Sus scrofa: one gene and its partners. The protein of the gene in region 1 interacts with the protein of each later gene in a pairwise test. Links are inferred from orthologs where the notes say so. Each region holds a gene or a part of one and is shown in the gene's direction. Other genes may lie near its edges.

The links.
Region 2: the proteins of C2H1orf35 (region 1) and SRRM4 interact in binary tests that used the Homo sapiens proteins (3 or more experiments, as listed by UniProt). The link is inferred for Sus scrofa from reciprocal best matches to the Homo sapiens genes C1orf35 and SRRM4.
Region 3: the proteins of C2H1orf35 (region 1) and STAC3 interact in binary tests that used the Homo sapiens proteins (3 or more experiments, as listed by UniProt). The two-hybrid records come from large-scale screens. The link is inferred for Sus scrofa from reciprocal best matches to the Homo sapiens genes C1orf35 and STAC3.

What each region holds. Positions count from the first base shown.
Region 1 is NC_010444.4:51,237,068-51,243,204, reverse strand, and holds C2H1orf35 (multiple myeloma tumor-associated protein 2), read left to right. Parts: upstream 1-1,879; 5' UTR 1,880-1,930; coding exon 1,931-2,024; intron 2,025-2,130; coding exon 2,131-2,281; intron 2,282-2,423; coding exon 2,424-2,469; intron 2,470-2,564; coding exon 2,565-2,644; intron 2,645-2,859; coding exon 2,860-2,932; intron 2,933-3,033; coding exon of another isoform or gene 3,034-3,098; coding exon 3,099-3,184; intron 3,185-3,777; coding exon 3,778-3,903; intron 3,904-3,988; coding exon 3,989-4,046; downstream 4,047-6,137.
Region 2 is NC_010456.5:33,815,141-33,821,286, reverse strand, and holds the start of SRRM4 (serine/arginine repetitive matrix protein 4), read left to right. Parts: upstream 1-2,427; 5' UTR 2,428-4,919; coding exon 4,920-5,050; intron 5,051-6,146. UniProt on the Homo sapiens protein: Splicing factor specifically required for neural cell differentiation.
Region 3 is NC_010447.5:22,552,612-22,558,789, reverse strand, and holds the start of STAC3 (SH3 and cysteine-rich domain-containing protein 3), read left to right. Parts: upstream 1-2,459; 5' UTR 2,460-2,791; intron 2,792-3,680; 5' UTR 3,681-3,779; coding exon 3,780-3,845; intron 3,846-4,123; coding exon 4,124-4,391; intron 4,392-4,633; coding exon 4,634-4,731; intron 4,732-4,945; coding exon 4,946-5,018; intron 5,019-6,178. UniProt on the Homo sapiens protein: Required for normal excitation-contraction coupling in skeletal muscle and for normal muscle contraction in response to membrane depolarization. Required for normal Ca(2+) release from the sarcplasmic reticulum, which ultimately leads to muscle contraction.

The sequences.
Region 1 (6,137 bases):
CTGCAACTGAACTGACTACAGGGCTTAAAGTCAGGTCACGTTATGGTTTTAGGATGAGGCCCAAAGGCATGTGAGCCTTCAACATTACCAAAGTCATGGGTGGTCCTTTTCCTGCAGGTAAGCCTAGCTACTGCTGAGTCTGCCCCTCTGGGTCCTAGAGCCCCCTTGGTCCTAGCACTGCCTTCAGCCTCAGGGCAGCAGGACTCTTGGGGGAACACAGTGACCTCCAAGAATGGGTGAGAGGAGCAGGGTGTCTGGGATCCAAGGACATCGGCCCCATGCCTATAGCTGGCCTACTTTGCCCCTCGCCAGGGTTCCCACAGCCCTACCGTCATGCTCTGCATCAAAGGGGCCAAGGGTTGGGGCCATCCTCCTTTGTTAACTCCGGGGTAGTGGGATGATGGTGGGGTGCGTTGCAGCTGCAATCTGTTAGGCCTTCCAATTGACTGCTGCCTTTCTGTAAAACCTGAAGGGGCAATTTCCAGCCTTTTTAAGGCAGCTGACCTGGCCCAGGCCTGGAGCTCCTGGGGTTTGATTATAGGAATTTGGCTGTCAGGCTCTTTCCCATAAACCTGAGTTCCAGTCATGGTAGATGGTGGGGACTGGAATTTGGCTGTCAGGCTCTTTCTTATATACCTGAAGTTCAGTCATAGTATATGGTGGGGAAGGTGTTCTGGGCCTGACCCAGTAGGTAGGAGCCAACAGCCTGTGGGAGATGAACCTCCCCCACTCCTGACCCCTTCTGGTCCACTCACCATTCTGTGCGGCTGCACAGGGACATCCTCCCACCCCAATCCATCCCAGCAATGTGTGGCTATGCACTTCCAGGCCCTGCTGACCTCCTCATCTTTGCTCAAGAACGCCCTTAAGCAGTGAGGCAGGTGAGGGAGAGCAAGGTGAAAGACCTCACCCCCCCCCCCCATTATCAGATGAACTCACTGAGCAACCTGCAGGAGGGCCATGTCTTGTGAGAGGACCAGTACTGAAGGGATACAGATAACATGTGTGGCACCGTGTAAATTCCTCAGTACATTCATCTTATGGTTTCAGTTCAGTAGGAGTTGGCCAATGGAGTGGCACTCCTCTCTGCTCATTAGGACCTCTTATGACTGAATCTATTCTGGTCTGCAGTGATGACAAACCGAACACCCTTGCCCAACAACTAGCTTACTATAGATACTGAGCAGCAAAGACCAAAACTGTTGAATGAGGATCGTCTGCCAGTGAACACCTTGAGGGTGACTGAGGCATTTTCTGTGCTCTTTGAGGTATGAGTGCAATGAGGTGTGCTTCCATACTTTTTTGGGAGCCACACAGCTGGTATCCCCAAGGGTGGAGAACAGGCCAGTGCAGGTGCAACCTGACCTTGGTGGCTCCCGGTTTATAAGGTAGGGAAGCTATAGTAGGGAAACAGTTTCAGACATAGTCTCCCCCAGTGCCTACCCCTCTCCCCAGCACAGGGCCAGAAACAGCACACACTAGCAACGATGACTCGGGGGTGTCACCCACACAACGTGACTCGAATTTATTTTTTAGGGCCGGACCCACAGCATACGGAAGTTCCCAGGCTAGGCGTCTAGCAGGAGCTGCAGCTGCCGGGTCTATGCCACAGCCACAGCCTCACCCACACCAGATCCGAGCCGGTTCTGCGAGCAGCTCATGGCCACACCGGATCCTTAACCCACAGATCCGGTCCAAGGATCAAACCCATGGCCTCATGGATACTAGTCCCTTTCATTACCTGTGACCCACGACAGTGGCTTCCAATAATGCGGCGGTATCTGCCGCAGCCTCCGACTTTGGCCAGGGCCACAGCAGTGCGCAGGCGTTAGAGGCAGGCGGGGGCGGTGCAAGCGCGCATGACGTCACTGCGTGCGACGCGGGGTGGAAACGGGGGCCGGTGGGGCCTGGGTAGCGGGAAGCCGGCACCATGTTCGGCTCCAGCCGGGGTGGAGTGCGCGGTGGGCAGGATCAGTTTAGCTGGGAGGATGTGAAGACTGACAAACAGAGGGAGAACTACCTGGGTGAGCGGGGTGCCGGGACCCAGGGTGGCGGCGGGGGTGTCTCTCGGGCTGGAGGTACGCCAACCTGCAGCGCCGTACCGAGGACTCGGCGCTCGGTATCCCGCAGGCAACTCGCTGATGGCCCCGGTGGGCCGCTGGCAGAAGGGCCGTGACCTCACCTGGTACGCCAAGGGCCGGGCGCACGGCGCGGGGTTGAGCCGGGAACAGGAGCTGGAGGCCGTGAGGCAGGCGGAGCAGGAAGCGCTTATGGCAGCGTTGTGAGTGAGCCTCGGGAGCTTGGGGGCGGGGGGGAATTACCTCCTGGTTGGGGGTAGGGCGGAGACCGGGGCTGGGCGGGGGCGGGGGCGCGGGCCGAGGAGAGGCCCGCCACTCTCTGAAGCTCACGCGCGGCCCCCGCAGAGGCTACAAGAACGTAAGGAAGCAGCCCACGGGCCTGAGCAAGGAGGTGAGAGGTGGGCCCTCTTGGAGGACGGGGGCGGGATGGGGCGGGGGGGCAGACCCCACGCTGTGGTGAGCGCTTGCACTCCCCCCCACCCACAGGACTTTGTCGAAGTCTGTAAGCGGGAAGGAAGTGACCCCGAGAAGGGAGTGGACCGGCTCCTGGGCCTGGGCAGCTCCAGGTGCGGGGCTGGGGAGGTGGTCCTCGGGGACCCCAGAAATCGCGAGGGTGCAATTCCCCGGGGTTCGGCGCTGTCAGCCGCCCAGGTGGAAGCCGTTATGGGTCGTCTGAACTCATCACTTCTCTAGGGAGGCCTACGGGTGGGGATGGGGTGGTCCTCGCTGTCGGGAGAGGGTGTCTCACTGTGGGGGGGGGTCCCCACCCGCGTCCCCGCAGTGGCTCTGCAGGGCGAGTGGCGCTGTCACGGGAAGACAAAGAGGCCGCTAAACTGGGGCTTTCGGTGTTCACGGTAATTCCTCCCGACATCCTGGTTATCCCATGTTGGGGTGGGGGTGGGGATGAGTGTCCCTTCCTGTTGAAAGCCGTGGGGCAAATCGTCTCCCCTCGAAGGGACCCTACTGGCTTTCTGGATGGTTCTCAGGCCCGCACACCCCCAGAGTGGCTTTTCTTGGCAGCACCACCGCGTGGAGAGCAGTCGGCCAGGGGTCTCCCTGGCTTCGGCCAAGAGGAAGCCTCGGTCAGAGGAGAAGGTGGAGCCAGGGTAAGGGCTGGATAAGTGGACCCTACCCGTGCTACTAGGACACAGAACTCGGTTCGCTCTGCATGTTGTTTGCTCCACCAGACAGTAAAATTCCTAGCTCCAGCCTTTTTTTGGGGGGGAGCCGCTGGAGGTTGTGAGCCCTGGGGCGGTTCCACTTGCCCCCTGACTCCTCAGTGGGATCAGGGGCCCAAGAGAATGTTCAGACATGAGTCACTTTCCGGGGTCTGGGGCGGGTGGGGTGGTGAACCACTTCCCCTTCCCGTTGCTTTAGCTGCCCAGCGAGGGGTGTGAGTGGCACAGGAGGGGATCACAATTTGGCCCCAAGAGTGCAGGGTGGAGTGGGAGTGGGGAAAATCGCAGTGGGAGGGTTGGAAAGGGGCCATGAGATCGTCAGATTTTCTGCCACGATTGGAATGCAAGTAAGGGTCTGTGCCCCCGACCGTGGTAGTTGCTGGCTACAGGTGGTACTGAGGAGTTGCCCTTAGTGACTTCAGGTTGAAATGGCTACACATGGTTAGTGGCTACTGCAGCAGCCCCATCCCTGGCTAGATTCCAAAGCCCCAGAGGCACTGGCACTTTGTGTCCCCTTGCAGCCCTGAGAGCCACAGGAAGAGCAAGAAAGAGAAGAAAAAGAAGAAAAAACACAAGAAAGAGAAGAGAAAGAAAGAAAAGGAGCATGGGAGGGGGTCACATTCCTCACTGTCCCCTTCTTCCATCCAGTAGGTGCAGCTGCCTGGGGGTAAAGAGGCGGGGAGTACTGGGCAGGCAGGGGCCCTCAAGCCAGGTGTCCCCCGGTCTCCCTAGGCATGATCCCAACTCCTCGCCTTGTTGCAAGAGGAAGCGCCGGCAGGACAGCAACTGAGATCCAGAGATCTGAAGGGCTAGCCTATGGGGATCACCCCAGGCCTCGAAAGAGGCTTAACTGTGGCCTACTACGGCTGCTTTTATTTTTCTTTGTATTGACTCACTCTTTGTACGTAAATAAACTTATTTTAAGTGGAAAGTGTTTCATACTAAAGGGAAGGTTGCTATCATATGTCATAATAGAAAGTGATGTGTGGGAGTTCCCGTCGTGGCGCAGTGGTTAACAAATCCAACTAGGAACCATGAGGTTGCGGGTTCGGTCCCTGCCCTTGCTCAGTGGGTTAACGATCTGGCGTTGCCGTGAGCTGTGGTGTAGGTTGCAGATGCGGTTTGGATCCCGCGTTGCTGTGGCTCTGGCTTAGGCCAGTGGCTACAACTCCGGATTCGACCCCTAGCCTGGGAACCTCCATATGCTGCAGGAGCGGCCCAAAGAGATAGCAAAAAAAAAAAAAGACAAAAAAAAAAAAAAAAAAGTGATGTGTGAAGATGTGATCTCTTGGGTTCTAGCAAGGCTACCTGTGATCCCACTGGGAAGGGCACTGTCCTTTTGGTGGTCAGCATCTCGGAGTCTCATATTGACCAAGAGCCCTGGGTCATGTGTGGCCAGAAGGAGGCCACACGGGTCAAAGGGGCTCAGCTGCAGAGGGGTGAGCATGCTAGGAGGGGCAACCTGAGCTGGGCACTTAGATCATGAAGAGGTGGACTTGGACTTGTACCTGAGGCCATGCTTGTCTCCCCAGGTCACTAAGGGACTTCCTAACCACTGACTGTCCTACCTACCTCCATGTGTCTGCTGCAAAGGCACTGGGCTCCCTCCCCCTGGCTGGGAGGTGCATACAACCAGGCTGTCCACAGAAAAAAATGAAAACATTTTATAGACACAATAGAATAAAGACAAAACCCAGGCTGGAGTCATTATTATGAGATTCTTATTTCTGATTTTAAAAGAAATGAGGGAATTCTGTCTTCAGAACGGACAACTGGTTTTCAACCTGTCAGACTATTATCTAGGTGGCCTGCCTCCTGGGGGAAGGACACCTGGGCTTTGGCCTGCCAATTGCCCCACCCAGTGTGCCAAGAAGGGCTCCAGGTCAAGAGGGAGGGGGTCTATGGCACAAAGCACCTAGCCAGGCACAATCATTGTAGTAGCAACATGGGAATGTGGCCGGGGGCACTTAGGAAGGGTGAAGGGCCTCCTCCATAAACCACCCCTGGCCCTAGCCTCTTGGGCATACCCCATGTGGTGACCCTGCTGTCCCTTAGAAGCTGGCATTGCAAAGACTGGGACCAAGGGCTGGACTGCCAACAATGAGGCAATGAGGAAGTCACCACAAGGGCACTGGGACATACCCACACCTGGCCACAGGGAAATGAAGATGGGAAGGAGTGGACAGAAAGGGAATGGAACAGGTCAGGGCAATGCTGGCCTCCCTAGGTGAAGACCAAGCTGCTGTCCCTGCCCACCTCTTAGGAGTCAGGCTGTCAATCAGGAGCACCCAAACATGGGAGAGCCACGAAATAGTTAAGAGATTTTATTCTAATAGCTGTAATTACAGTGCTTGTTTGTCGAAATGAAAACTGAAAACAAGTATACAAAACAGTTGATTACTAATCGTGTATTGAAAGCAGTAAGAGGTTCCACGACACCAAATAAACCAGTTCTGAGGTTTTCCCCAAGATAAAGTTTAACAGCTCCAGCTTCTTCAGTGTTTATCAAAATACAAAAGAAAAAAGTAGAGGTTATCATTTTCGATGGCAAATCTGACCCCTGCAGGCTAAGGGCGTGAAAGCACATGTAGACAGGGGCTCCAAGGGGCTGGGGCTCTAGGATGACCACCCATGCTCCTGCTGGTGAGACCCCAGAGAGCCCGGAGCAGGCAAGCAAGGGGACTGCAGGGCTCCCGCTCCAGCCAGAGTGTTCCAACCAAGGTGCCCATGTTGACTCAAGAAAAGGCTGGGGTTCCTCCAAGGGGTCTGGGAGCAGTGGCTGCAGCTCCAGTCCATCTCCTGGGCGGCCATGTGAGCACAAATACAAGCAAAAACGCAATGGGGTGTGGGATGACCCAAGACAGAGCCAATCAGAGGGATC
Region 2 (6,146 bases), on another chromosome or scaffold:
AATAGCTAGGAAAACAAGTGATAAGGGGAATACTTTCTCACCATGTATGACCATGCGCTCTGATGTTATTTAAACTGCCTGGATACCACCTAAAACCTTCCGGTGGGGAGTACCACCAGGGTTCCAAGGAACCTCTCTTTGAGAAATAGCAATATAATATCATTGGCTTTTAAAACTGAGCAGAATAATGGCAGTCCTCTAAGTTCATTGCATGAAGCATATTCCTTCATCACCAACTCTTCAGTTTCTCTTCCATTCTTCCATTACTATGTTCTCTGGTTTTTGGGTTCTTCCTTGTGTGTATCCAATGCTTCCAATATGTGGTCTCTGCACATACTGAATCCTCTTACCGTTCTGAAACTCAGTTTTCCAAATCTGCAAGATTCAGACGGTGATAGTTCCTTTCTTATGGAGTTGTTGACAAGGATTAAATGTGATAATGTTTATCAAGGGTCTAGCATAAATGGTGACTAGAGCATAGGACATAGTAATACTTACTCGATATGTGCAATTATTACTCTGAGATAGTAATGAATGTGTTTGTCTTATAGACTCTTGGGACCTATTACAACCAAGGAAGGAGAATACTTTTGGCTTATCCATGTTAGTCCAGGGACATTTGAAGCAGTGCGTATTCTAGAAGAAAAATGGGCAATAAATGATGATGGTGGGATTCAGGTTAGACATGAGGTAGAACTTTGAAGAAGTGAGGATTAGTAAGCCCTGAGTAGTACAATCATTTTTTTTCTCCCCAAAAGTCTATAGGAAAAATACAGAATCTTGTAAATTGAATAGTTTAGCGTGATCCTGTGTAAGGGCACAAAGACAGATGAATTGGTCTCATTACCATATTTCCCATTATCTCAGTAATTATTTGAATCATTCACTGTTCACTGGACACTTGAAAATGGGTACAGACTTAAGAACCCTGATGTCCCTTGATGGTGGATAATGATCGGCCATATCAGTCAAAGTAGTTATGGACAGAGAGAGTAAGGGGTTTACCCCAGTAAGATAGTAATGTCAATGAGGTGGGATTTGAACTGCCTCTGGAGGAGAGGTAGCTATTTCTCTGAGCTGGTGTTTTTTGGATCATTAGGGAGAAGGAGGTATAAGAATCTCTTTTGCTCCTGCTTTAGATTACCTGGGTTTGCAAATCCTAGAATCACTTCTTCCTGGTCTCCCCTTTTTCTAATACAAGAACAGTGCCAATTAGGTAAAGAAGAGCCCTTTAGACATGGCTGGAAAATTGATTTTTTTTTTCATTTTTTTCTTCATCTTTTTTTCCCCCATCTTTTAAAGCTTCGTTGAAGTATGGTTGATATACAATATTGGTATAATTTTTTTTTTTTTGGTCTTTTTGCTATTTCTTGGTCTTGGGCCGCTCCCGCGGCATATGGAGATTCCCAGGCTAGGGGTTGAATCGGAGCTGTAGCCACCGGCCTACACCAGAGCCACAGCAACGCGGGATCCGAGCTGAGTCTGCAACCTACACCACAGCTCACGGCAACGCTGGATCGTTAACCCACTGAGCAAGGGCAGGGACCAAACCCGCAACCTCATGGTTCCTAGTCGGATTCGTTAACCACTGCGCCACGATGGGAACTCCGGATAATTTCTGCTGTACAACTAAGTGGTTCAGTTATACATATACACACCTCCATTCTTTTTCAGATTCTTTGCCCATATAGATGTGTCAAACTGATTTTTATTAGAATGCCAAATCCAGCCAGTCGGTGCTGGCTATCTAGAGAATGTGTTGAGAAGGATTCCGAGGTCTTATCCAGAAAGGTGTTGTCACTGGCATAGTGTAGAGAATAGGCAGCGATTGTGTCACATGTTCCTATTAATTTACTAGCATACTGAAATGTCTCAGTTTAAGCAGTGGGCTGCCTGCACCTTGGAAAACAGAGCAGTATCCTGAGGGAATGAGAACAAGATGGTTATGTATTCATAATATGATGGAGGAACTGGAGTTTGAGTCCCATCAGAGAAGTCGGACCTGAAGTCTATTTACACCCAGGGTATTTGATTTTTATAGAATCTTTGTATAACTGCTGAAGAAACTGAGGTATAGACAAGTGAAGTCAATCTTCCAAGATCACACATTTAGGAAATGGCAGAGCTGGGATTTGAACCCAGGCAGTCTGGCTTTGAGGCCCTGAATTTATCACCCAAGACTCCCAACTTAGAAGTCTCAACAGGAGTTCCTGTCATGGCACAGCGGAAACGAATCCGACTAGGAACCATGAGGTTTCTGGTTTGATCCCTGGCCTCGCTCAGTGGGTTAAGGATCTGGCATTGCCCTGAGCTGTGGTGTAGGTCGCAGACACAGATCTGGCATTGCTGTGGCTCCGTAGGCTGGCAGCTACAGCTCCAATTCGACCCCTTGCCTGGGAACCTCCATATGCCACAGGTGCGGCCCTAATAAGACAACAAGAAAAGAAAAAGAAGTCTCAACCCTGTGTGCTTCTCAGTACGTGGTTCCTTTGGTATCTGGCAGTTTTTACACTGCCCACCCTGGGGTGCCTGGTATCTTGAGACCCCTCATTCCCCAAGTGAAAACAGAAACTGCTTTGTACAGACTCCTTTGCTCCCTGTAGAATCACCTTAGGCAAATCACTTGACCATCCTACACCTCAACTTCCTCACCTTTAAAGTGCAGTTAAGAACAGCTTCCCCTCCCACCTTCCCTGGCTGCTATTCAGGTTCAAAAGAGGCAAATCTGTGCAAATGGGAACGTTATCAACAGTCGAAGAACTTAGAGCTGGAACAGGCTGGGAAAGGTTGATAGATCTTGTGGGGGTAGGATCCTAGCTACCTCTTCCCTGCAAGTGACTCAGTTTAGACCCCAAATGTCATGACTAAGGATGGTTTTAAATATCCCAGGCTACTTAAAGAGCCAGTTCTCAAAGGCATTTAAAGTGACACTAATTTCGATATAGGAAATAGCACCTAAGAGTGATCGGAGACGGGAGAGTTTGGGGCCGGAGGGAGAGATGGTGGTGCTTTTGAGCCTAGTCTCCACTTTCTCCTCCATCTCCAAACTCCCCAGCCCTACCTCCAACTCCCGACTGGGACAACCCACTTGAAGAAGCCAGCAAATGCATCTCTTGTTTTTTACCAGAAGGGGTCACTGCAGAGCGAGCAGCGCACTCAGGCACTCAAACAAGCAGGCACGCAAATATCCAAATGCACGCATATCCACAGGAAGATACATTTCTGGGCTAATACCTGGATACTCCAGAGTTCGCTCTGCCTGCCTCCTCCCCTGTTTCTCCTATTCCCCTCCTGTTCCCTTTCAAAGAATGTCTGAAGTTCACATTGGTGCCCTAGTCCCCTGGATCCCCATCGTCCTCATCATCAGCAAGAAACAAGAGTTTATTTCCGCTGGGGCTGAAAACCAGAGCCCTCATAGGCCTTTAAGACTTGGCAAAGCCTCCTTCCAAGAATGTGCAGTCTAGGGAGTGGGGGTAGCAACTCTGCTGAGAGTAAAGGACTCCAAGGGAAAGATGGGCAGAGGGGTCCAGCATTTCTTTTTCTTAATGAAAACCCTGGGGCTGAAGGAAAGAAAGTCTCTGCATCTAGGTTTTATTATGATTCTGAACTTCCACCCTCTGGGATTAGGGTCGGACTGCTAGAGGGTAGAAGAGGAGAGAAACTGAAAAGTAACCATCCCCCTATAATCCTCATATTTCCCCCCTCAAACCCCTACCCCTAAGAGCTTTCTCTTTCACAACTGACTCCTCTCCCAAGAGAAGCTGTATTAAGAAAAAGTGGCTGCAGCTGAGTTCCCTAGGAGTGGACGGCATGGGGTGGGGGCGGGGGCACACTTTCCTTTGGATGGGTTGACAGCGGGACGTTGGGCGGGCTGGCTGTGAGGCACAAAAGAGATGTCCCTTAGAGCCGCGTGCACAGATGCAAGGCTGCACCCCTCTGCGGGCGGGGCCGGCTCGGCAGATGGCGAGAGGCCGAATTGCTGACGGATTGTCCATCAAATGGCACTTTTGGGTGGTGGGGATCTCTCAGCACTCTGGCGCAAAGAGAAATTCAGGAAACAAGCCCCCCCCCCCATTTTACTGCTGTATAGACAGTCCCTCCCAGAAGTGTGTGGCGGGGGGGCAGGTTGGCTTGGGCGGACAGATTAAGTTTTTTTCTCTCTCCGTCTATAGAAGATCTAGGAGATTTACGAACGGGGTGGGAAGGGAGAAGGCCGGGCCCAGAGGGCGCACAAGAAAGGGTAGGGGGAAGGCTCGCGGTGGTAGGGGAGGAGAGGGGGCTGGGAAGCAGGATCTCACGGCTGGTTCAGTTCAGGGTTCCGGATTGCTTTTCTCGGGGGTCAACGCTGCAACTCTGTAGCCGCGGGGCCCGGGTGACAGGCGCACGCCCCGCCCTTTCTCCTCCCAAGACCTGCGGGCTTTTGTTATGCAGATGGCGGCAGGAGGCAGAGTCGGAGGAGGAGGGAGTTGGTGAGGAGGAGGAGAGGCGGAGAGGCGGAGAGGAAAGTGCAGCTCGCGCGACCAGCCTCCTCTTCCAACGTCACATTGTGAGAGAGACAAAACCCGGGCGCGCCGGAGCTCACACGCGCACGCACACACAGACGACCCCGTCGCCTCTTCTCTCCAGCGCTGCCGAGAAAGCCAGCCCTCCCTTCCCTTCCTGGGGTGCGGAGGCTCAGTAAGCTCAGAGTGCAGCCCAGAGCCAACCCAGAAGGCGAAGAGAACCGACGGACAAGCCTTCTTTCTCCCCCGCCTGCCCGAGCTGAGGCGCCCCCTCCCCCGCCCTGAACCCCGATCTCTCTCACCCCACCCCTTTCGGTTTCACGCGGACAGAGACCGGAGCCCGGTGTGCCCCCGTTTGGAATCCACGATTCAGCACTTCGGACAGCGCCCCGGAGCCCCGGGCCCTTGGGGTTGGCTATGGCGAGCGTTCAGCAAGGAGAGAAACAGCTTTTTGAGAAGTTCTGGCGAGGAACCTTTAAAGCCGTGGCCACCCCGCGTCCTGAGAGCATCATTGTTGCCAGTATCACCGCCCGCAAGCCGCTGCCAAGGTAAATGACCTCCTGCTTATGAGGGGAGACTGGATGGTCCCCATTTCTGGCCTGTGCCCCGGAGTCCAGAGGGGTGGATGCAGGCAGCTGGGCCAGGGCGCCGGTCTTTTCCCATCACTACTCTGTATCTCCCACTGGAGCATGGGAACTAATTGCTTATGTGAGGTAGAAGCTGGTGAGAAGGGACAGAGAGTCTTTAGGGGGAGCAACGCTCAATCAGCTGACCTGGCAGCTGCTGTGTAAGAGGTTTTGCTGTCTCTGGGTGGACAGTGCAGGTGGGAGACGACTTGACTAAAAAACTTTTCTTGGTATCACAGAGCTCAGAGGGCAGAGGGTGAAGGCATGGTGGATTTGAGGTGATGAGGGTTGTACCAGAAGAGAAGATGAGAACTAAACTAGCTCAAGCCTTGTTCAGAGACAGTGGCACATTTCTATACTCAGCTCAGAAACTAGCGAGCTCTGACTGTTTTGACAAAAGCCCATATGCTGTTCCCTCAAATACACCCTAAACAGCACCCTCCTCCATGCCTTTCTGGCTGCTGCTGTTGCTGCTGCTGAATTATCTCGTCTCCAGCATCCAAAACCAGGACTCTGAGCTTGAGAGTCAGGGAGGAGCCTTCCAAGATTGTGAAGATGGTCTTGGAAGAGTTTTATCTGGTTTTTCAAAAAGAATCCAGTTGCTTTGAACTCAGGCGTAAGAACCGACCCTTAGGTGGTGGAGGAAATGTTATGATGGGGGCAGGATAAAGGAGGAAATGAAAGAAAGGCAGAAAGAGGAAGAAGAGGATGTGGGATAAAACTGGGAGGAGGCTGGGGAAAACAGAAGCGTTCCAAGACAAAGAAAACCCAATTCTTTTCACAAAGCTTTCTATTTAGTGGAGCTCGAAAATGAAAGGAAGAAGGCTGTGCCCTCTGTCAGGGCACATCAAGGCTGTATGGAAAGTCATCTTTTGCTGGTGTTGGATGAGTGGTTGGGTGGGAGAAAAAGAAAGAAGTGGACCAGGGGAGACCACTTGGGGGACTGATTAATCTTGGCAGGCTACATTAAGGAGTAGGTTGAAAATATGCCTGGAAAAGTGTTTCAGACAGAATGCCT
Region 3 (6,178 bases), on another chromosome or scaffold:
GACACAGTATTTAATTGCACATACAGATGTTTGCTGGGTATATTCACTGTAAATTTTATTTAATCTGATTTTTTTGTTTGTTTGGGGGGGCTTGGGGGGAGGTTGATTTTGTTTTTAAATATAAAAAAAAAAATCTGTCACTGGACATCAGTCCCTGTTTTTCTGTTGCCGCTCTAGTGGGGGTGGGGGGCAGGGGGCGGGGGAGATGGAGGTCCTGGGTAAATACAGCCCACAGCTGTTGGAGGGATTTGACGTGGGCTGGAATGGCTTTCTCTGGCATAGGCACACATGTCTTCCTAACACGATTTCCCTGAATCCCGTCCTCCTCCTTACAAATAGATGGATGACTGGGTCTGCCACTAACTGTGGTTTATCAAGCATAGTGTTCTCAACTGTGGACCTCTGAGTTCTTAGCGGTAATATAAGAGACTTGGACTAAGTGACCTCCAAGTTTCCTTCTACCCTGTTAACTCTGTGATATTCATTTATTGCCCTGGTAGCTAATCCAGAAGGGTATGAGTGAGGTCTGAAATGGGGTTGAGTTGCTGGCCTTATATTTATCCATCTCATCTTCTGAAAATTCTTCAGGGATGGAGGACATGGGCCTTTCTTTAATCGCAAAGCCAGAGGATTAGGTTCTACATGGCAGGAACAGAAGTGGATGTTTCTTACAATAAAAGCTGTATCAATTGAACTTGCTGTGCCAAGATGCCATACCATCCAGGTGTGTTCAGCAGTCCCTGACCCGGGCAGCTGAAGAAAGGTAAAGAGCAAAAGTCAGTCACCCACAAGACAGAGCTCTCCTGTCTTCACAAAGCTAGCCTTGTTCAGCCAGTCAAACCAGGGCCACTACAGAGCCCGTTGACCAGAACCACACAGCAGCCCCTTTTCAATATCACCCACCCCGAGTTACCACCTTCTAATCGCTCTCCAAGATGGGAGTATCTCCTCTTTCAGCCATGTCAAGCCCAGACTAGGAAAAGCCTGCTTGCCTGGGAGATAAGAATGCCAGATATGGAGTTCCCGTCGTGGCGCAGTGGTTAAAGAATCCGACTAGGAACCATGAGGTTGCAGGTTTAGTCCCTGCCCTTGCTCAGTGGGTTAACGATCCAGCGTTGCTGTGAGCTGTGGTGTAGGTTACAGACGCGGCTCGGATCCCGCGTTGATGTGGCTCTGGTGTAGGCCAGTGGCTACAGCTGCGATTCAACCCCTAGCCTGGGAACCTCCATATGCCGCGAGAGCGGCCCAAGAAATAGCAAAAAGACAAAAAAAAAAAAAAAAAAAAAAAAAAAAGAATGCCAGATATCAGAGTTCCTGTTGTGGCTCAGCAGTAATGAACCCAGCTAATGTCCCTGAGGATGCAGGTTCCATCCCTGGACCCACTCATTGAGTCAAAGGATCCGGTGTTGCTGTAAGCTGTGGTGTAGGTCACAGACAAGGCTCGGATCCCACGTTGCTGTGACTGTGGTGTGGTATAGGCTGGCAGCTGCAGCTCCAATTTGACTCTAGCCTGGGAATTTCCATATGCCGAAGGTGCAGCCCTAAAAAGACCCCCCTCCAAAAAAAAGAATGCCAACTATCTCATTGACCCATCAGTTCATATGCCAGGACATCATCAGAAAGAGAAGGAATCAGGGAGTCAGAATGATGAAGGAAATGTGAGGCTTGGCCATCCTGTCTCCAAGAGTTTGCAGCTCCCATGAGGAAGGAGACTTACTTACAGATGATAAAAACTCCCAATGTGACAACTCTTGCCTTCTGTGCAATGTTAATGAAACCATCTCTGTGATCATTGGACCCTCACTCCCTCAGAGACCCTCAGGTGGAAGTCCCAGCCTGACTTTTTAAAATAGCTCTTAGAATTCCTTTCACCCTGAGGACAAGACTTTAGAGAAATAGGGAAAAGATCTCTGGGGGCAGCTGGAGGGAACAAAGCAATACTGCGTGTCGTCACTGCCTTACCAGATAGCAGCCACTGCTCATGGGCAGGAAGGCCATCTAGGAGATCCCTAGTGGCTCAGTGGTTTAAAGACCCGGCATTATCACTTCTATGGCTCTGGTTGCTGCTGTGACATGGGTTCAATTCCTGGTCCGGGAATTAATTTATGCATGCCGTGAGCACGGCCAAAAAAAAAAAAAAAAAAAAAAGGCAATCTAGTTTGGCTGAGCTCTGGAAATCCAAATTATCCTTTCTTGACCAGTTTCCAAGCTTTCTTACTGTTGGAGCCTAGATCGATGCTTGAGGGTATAAAAACAAGACAGGGACCACAAGAAGACAATGGCTAAGAAGTCAAAGGCTAGTTCCTAAAACAGGTTCAAGGAGGGGAGAATCGGGGAGGTATTGAGACCTTGGGGGAAAGGGGATGGATAAGGCTGTTTGTAAGTCATCTAAAATCAGCCACGCAAGTGTCCAGCATGGACACTGTCCCCTCCTGAGTTTAGCCAATGCTGAACTGCACACCGTGGATGAAAAACCAAGCAACAGCAGTGTGGGGGGATGGGAGGAGTTAGGGTCCAGCCCTGCCCAGACCTCCTCGTGTCCAATTTCTCTGTGTCAGCTGTGTCGCTCAGCTGTCCACTTTCCTCCAGCCCTGTCATTTCAGCTCTGACACCAAGGCGAGAGGCTAGGAGGTCTACAAATACCGTCTGGGTAGCTGGTGTGAGTACAGAGGGTACTGGGGGGGCTTAGCCCCCAAGGAAGAGGACCAGTCCTCCCCCAGCACCACCATCAAGACCCCAGGGGCTCCCTCTTTTCTCCACAGACTGTGGACTGACTTAGGGAATCCCAAACGTAAGTTGCCTCTTCATCCTCTTTGCGTTTCCAGGACTTCTCACCCCAGCTTCCCCAATCCGTAGTCTATTCAGCTTCTTCATTTCTCTCATTGTCTGTGAGTAGTTTGGGTTTTAGGAGTGAAATTATTAAGCTACTCCAGGACAAGAGTTAGGATTGAAGGGTAGGGTGGGGGTGGGGTCAGGGGAGTAGAGTAGTAAGGGAAGGAAAGTCTCATATTACTCTGAAAACTTAAAATAGCTGAAGCCTGAGGCAGGCTGGGAACTAGGGAACTAGGCACCGGGCCCCTGAGCTCAAGAAAGGTAGGAGAGAACAAATGTCCCCAGCCCATCCCTCTATGCGCACTTGTGGACATGCACATTAAACCTCTTGAAAGGGGATCTGGGAAGGTGTGTGTCACATTTCTAAAGCCCACAGATTCCCTTGGAGTTGCCATCATGGCTCAGTGGTTAACGAATCCGACTAGGAACCATGAGGTTGCGGGTTTGATCCCTGGCCTTGCTCAGTGGGGTAAGGAGCCGGCATTGCTGCGGCTGTGGTGTAGGCCGGCAGCTGCAGCTCTAATTAGACCGCTAGCCTGGGAACCTCCCTATGCCACGAGTGCAGCCCTAGAAAAAGACAAAAATAAATAAATAAAAACCAAAGCCCACAGATTCCCAAGAGAAACAAAGTGCTTGTAGGAAAATGCCTAAACCACACAGCCTTGTGCACTGTCTCAGGGCAGTAAACTCTGGGGTTGCCCATCAGGATAGAAGGATGGTCATTGGTTTAAGGAGTTGGTAGGGAAGTTCTTTTGTCTGTTGGGCTTTTCTCTGGGCCTTTCTGGAATCTTTCTGCTCCTTGCCCCTGTCTGTGAAAGAATCTCTGTTTAACCAAATTTCTCCCAAAGCCTCCCCTTCAAGGACCACCCTACTGCAAGGGACAGGAACAAGGGGGGAAGAATGTCATTCAGAGATTAGATTTCATAGTGAGGTCAACCTCTTGCAGGATGACAGAAAAGGAGGTGCTGGAGTCCCATAAGCCCTCCTTCCCAGGAGAGACTCGGCAAAGTGGGGTGAGTCTGGGCCTTGACCATGGGGTATGGGGAGCTGGGAAGCCACTGCAGTCTTGAAGAAAATTGCTTGAATTGATCTCACTTGTATACGATTCATGTATTGTTCAAATGCTAGCTAGCACCTACAGGCCCCAGGACCCCCTAATCCTGGGGTGTGCCCCTTGCCCCAAGCTTGAAGAATGTCTAGTTAGCTTCAGCCTGACCTACTCTAAAAAGCAAGACAGTTCCTTTAACACTGGGTTTCCTTCCTTCCCTCCTTCCTTCCTTCCCTCCCTCAGCTACAGCGGCTGAAGCAGTTATTTAGGAAGGAGTCTACAGGGACAAAGGAGATGGAGCTTCCCCCAGAGCCCCAGGCCAATGGGGAGGCAGTGGGAGCTGGGGGTGGGCCCATCTACTACATCTATGAGGAAGAGGAAGAAGAGGAGGAAGAGGAAGAAGAACCACTCCCAGAACCTCCCAAGCTTGTCAATGATAAGCCCCACAAATTCAAAGATCACTTCTTCAAGAAGCCCAAGTTCTGTGACGTCTGCGCCCGGATGATTGTGCGTGAGTCACAGAGGGAAGTGGAGAGTGTGATGCCAAAGGCAGGGGGCAGGGGAAAGGATTTAGGAGAGGAGTATTTGTACATCAGATAGGCTGTGGCAAGATTTAGCTTTAAGAAACTACTGCAGAGATGGAGAGTGTCAGGTCCTATACTGAAAAGGGACCTGAGAACTAGAGTAGCAGCAGTGTTAGGAAGGGAAAGGGCAATCAGGAACCTCACGCAAATGTTCTCCCCATCTCCCAAGTCAACAACAAATTTGGGCTTCGCTGTAAGAACTGCAAAACTAACATCCACGAACACTGTCAGTCCTACGTGGAGATGCAGAGATGCTTCGGCAAGATCGTGAGTAGGCTCTGGGGAGCAAGAAAGTAGAAGGGAGGGGACATGTTGCCCGCTACCTCCTTGCCGGTCCCTCCTCAAGGCATCCCATCCATTTCCCTGCTTTTTCTTCCTCAGCCTATCTTTTACTCCAAGAAAGGGTGGACGTTCATGGGAGAGGTGGGGTTTGGGGCTCTACCTTGTTATCTCTAATGCTTTCTCCCATCCCATCCTACAGCCCCCTGGTTTCCGTCGGGCCTATAGCTCCCCACTCTACAGCAACCAGCAGTACGCTTGTGTCAAAGATCTCTGTAAGTGCCCCATACAGGACCTGAGGGAATGGGCAAGCCTAGAGGTGGTTTCCAGATGTGGAAACAAAATTCTGAAACAGAAAGATTCTATATCCTGTGGTTCTCGCTCAACCTAGTATCTTGGCCATCTTGGATGCAGAGTCAGTATTCCTCTGTTTTATAGCTGAGGGAAATAAGGTTTAGCTGGGGCTCTACTCAGGAAGAGACAGAACCAAAACTGAAACTTTCACCCGCCTAACCTCAAACTCTGCTCTTCATGTACAAAATCATTTCTAAGCACGAACTAGACTGTCCTCATCCCTGTTACAGAATAATGCCAGAGTCAGGGCCAGACCAAGAGCTGTGGGCATCCTGGGTAGGTTCATAATTTGGCAACCCTAAAAAACATACCCGTGGACTTCCATGTTGGTGCAGCAGGTTGAGGGTCCAGGGCTATCACTGCAGCAGCCCCAGTGGCTCCTGTGGCATGGGTTCGATCCCTGGTCCATAAATTTCCACATGCTGTAGGCATAGCCCAAAAAATAAATAAAAATAAAAATTTAAAAACCTTTCTCCTTATGGAGTTCCCCTTTGTGGCTCAACAGAAACGAATCTGACTATCACCCATGAGGACACAGGTTCAATCCCTGGCCTTGCTCGGTGTGTTAAGGATCCAGTGTTGCCATGAGCTGTAGTGTAGATGCAGCTGTGGTGGTGTTGTACTTATCTGGCGTTGCTGTGGCTGTGGCATAGGTCGGTAGCTACAGCTCCAATTTGACCCCTAGCCTGGGAACCTCCATATGCCATGAGTGTGGCCCTAAGAAAACAAAAATAAATACCTTACTCCTTTAAAAAGAATGTTCATTGACAATCTGCTGAACATTTGTTTGGAGGAGAGGCTGAACTCTGTGAGGAGCTTGGGTAGAAAAAAGGAACCCACTTGTGGTAGTCCCCCAGCTTACACTCAGTGGAACAAAAGCCAGCAGTTAAACCACTCTCCTTAAAAGAAAATTAGTGATTCTGAGCATTCCCCAACTCCTAAGCAACTTATTAGCAGAGTTGACTTTCCAACATCATGTAACACTCTGCCTGCAAGGAGGGCTGGTAAATATTTTTCCAGTGATGTTTTCAGAGCTCTTTATAGATTGATGACCTAGGTATATCCAGCTGACACTTTCCTA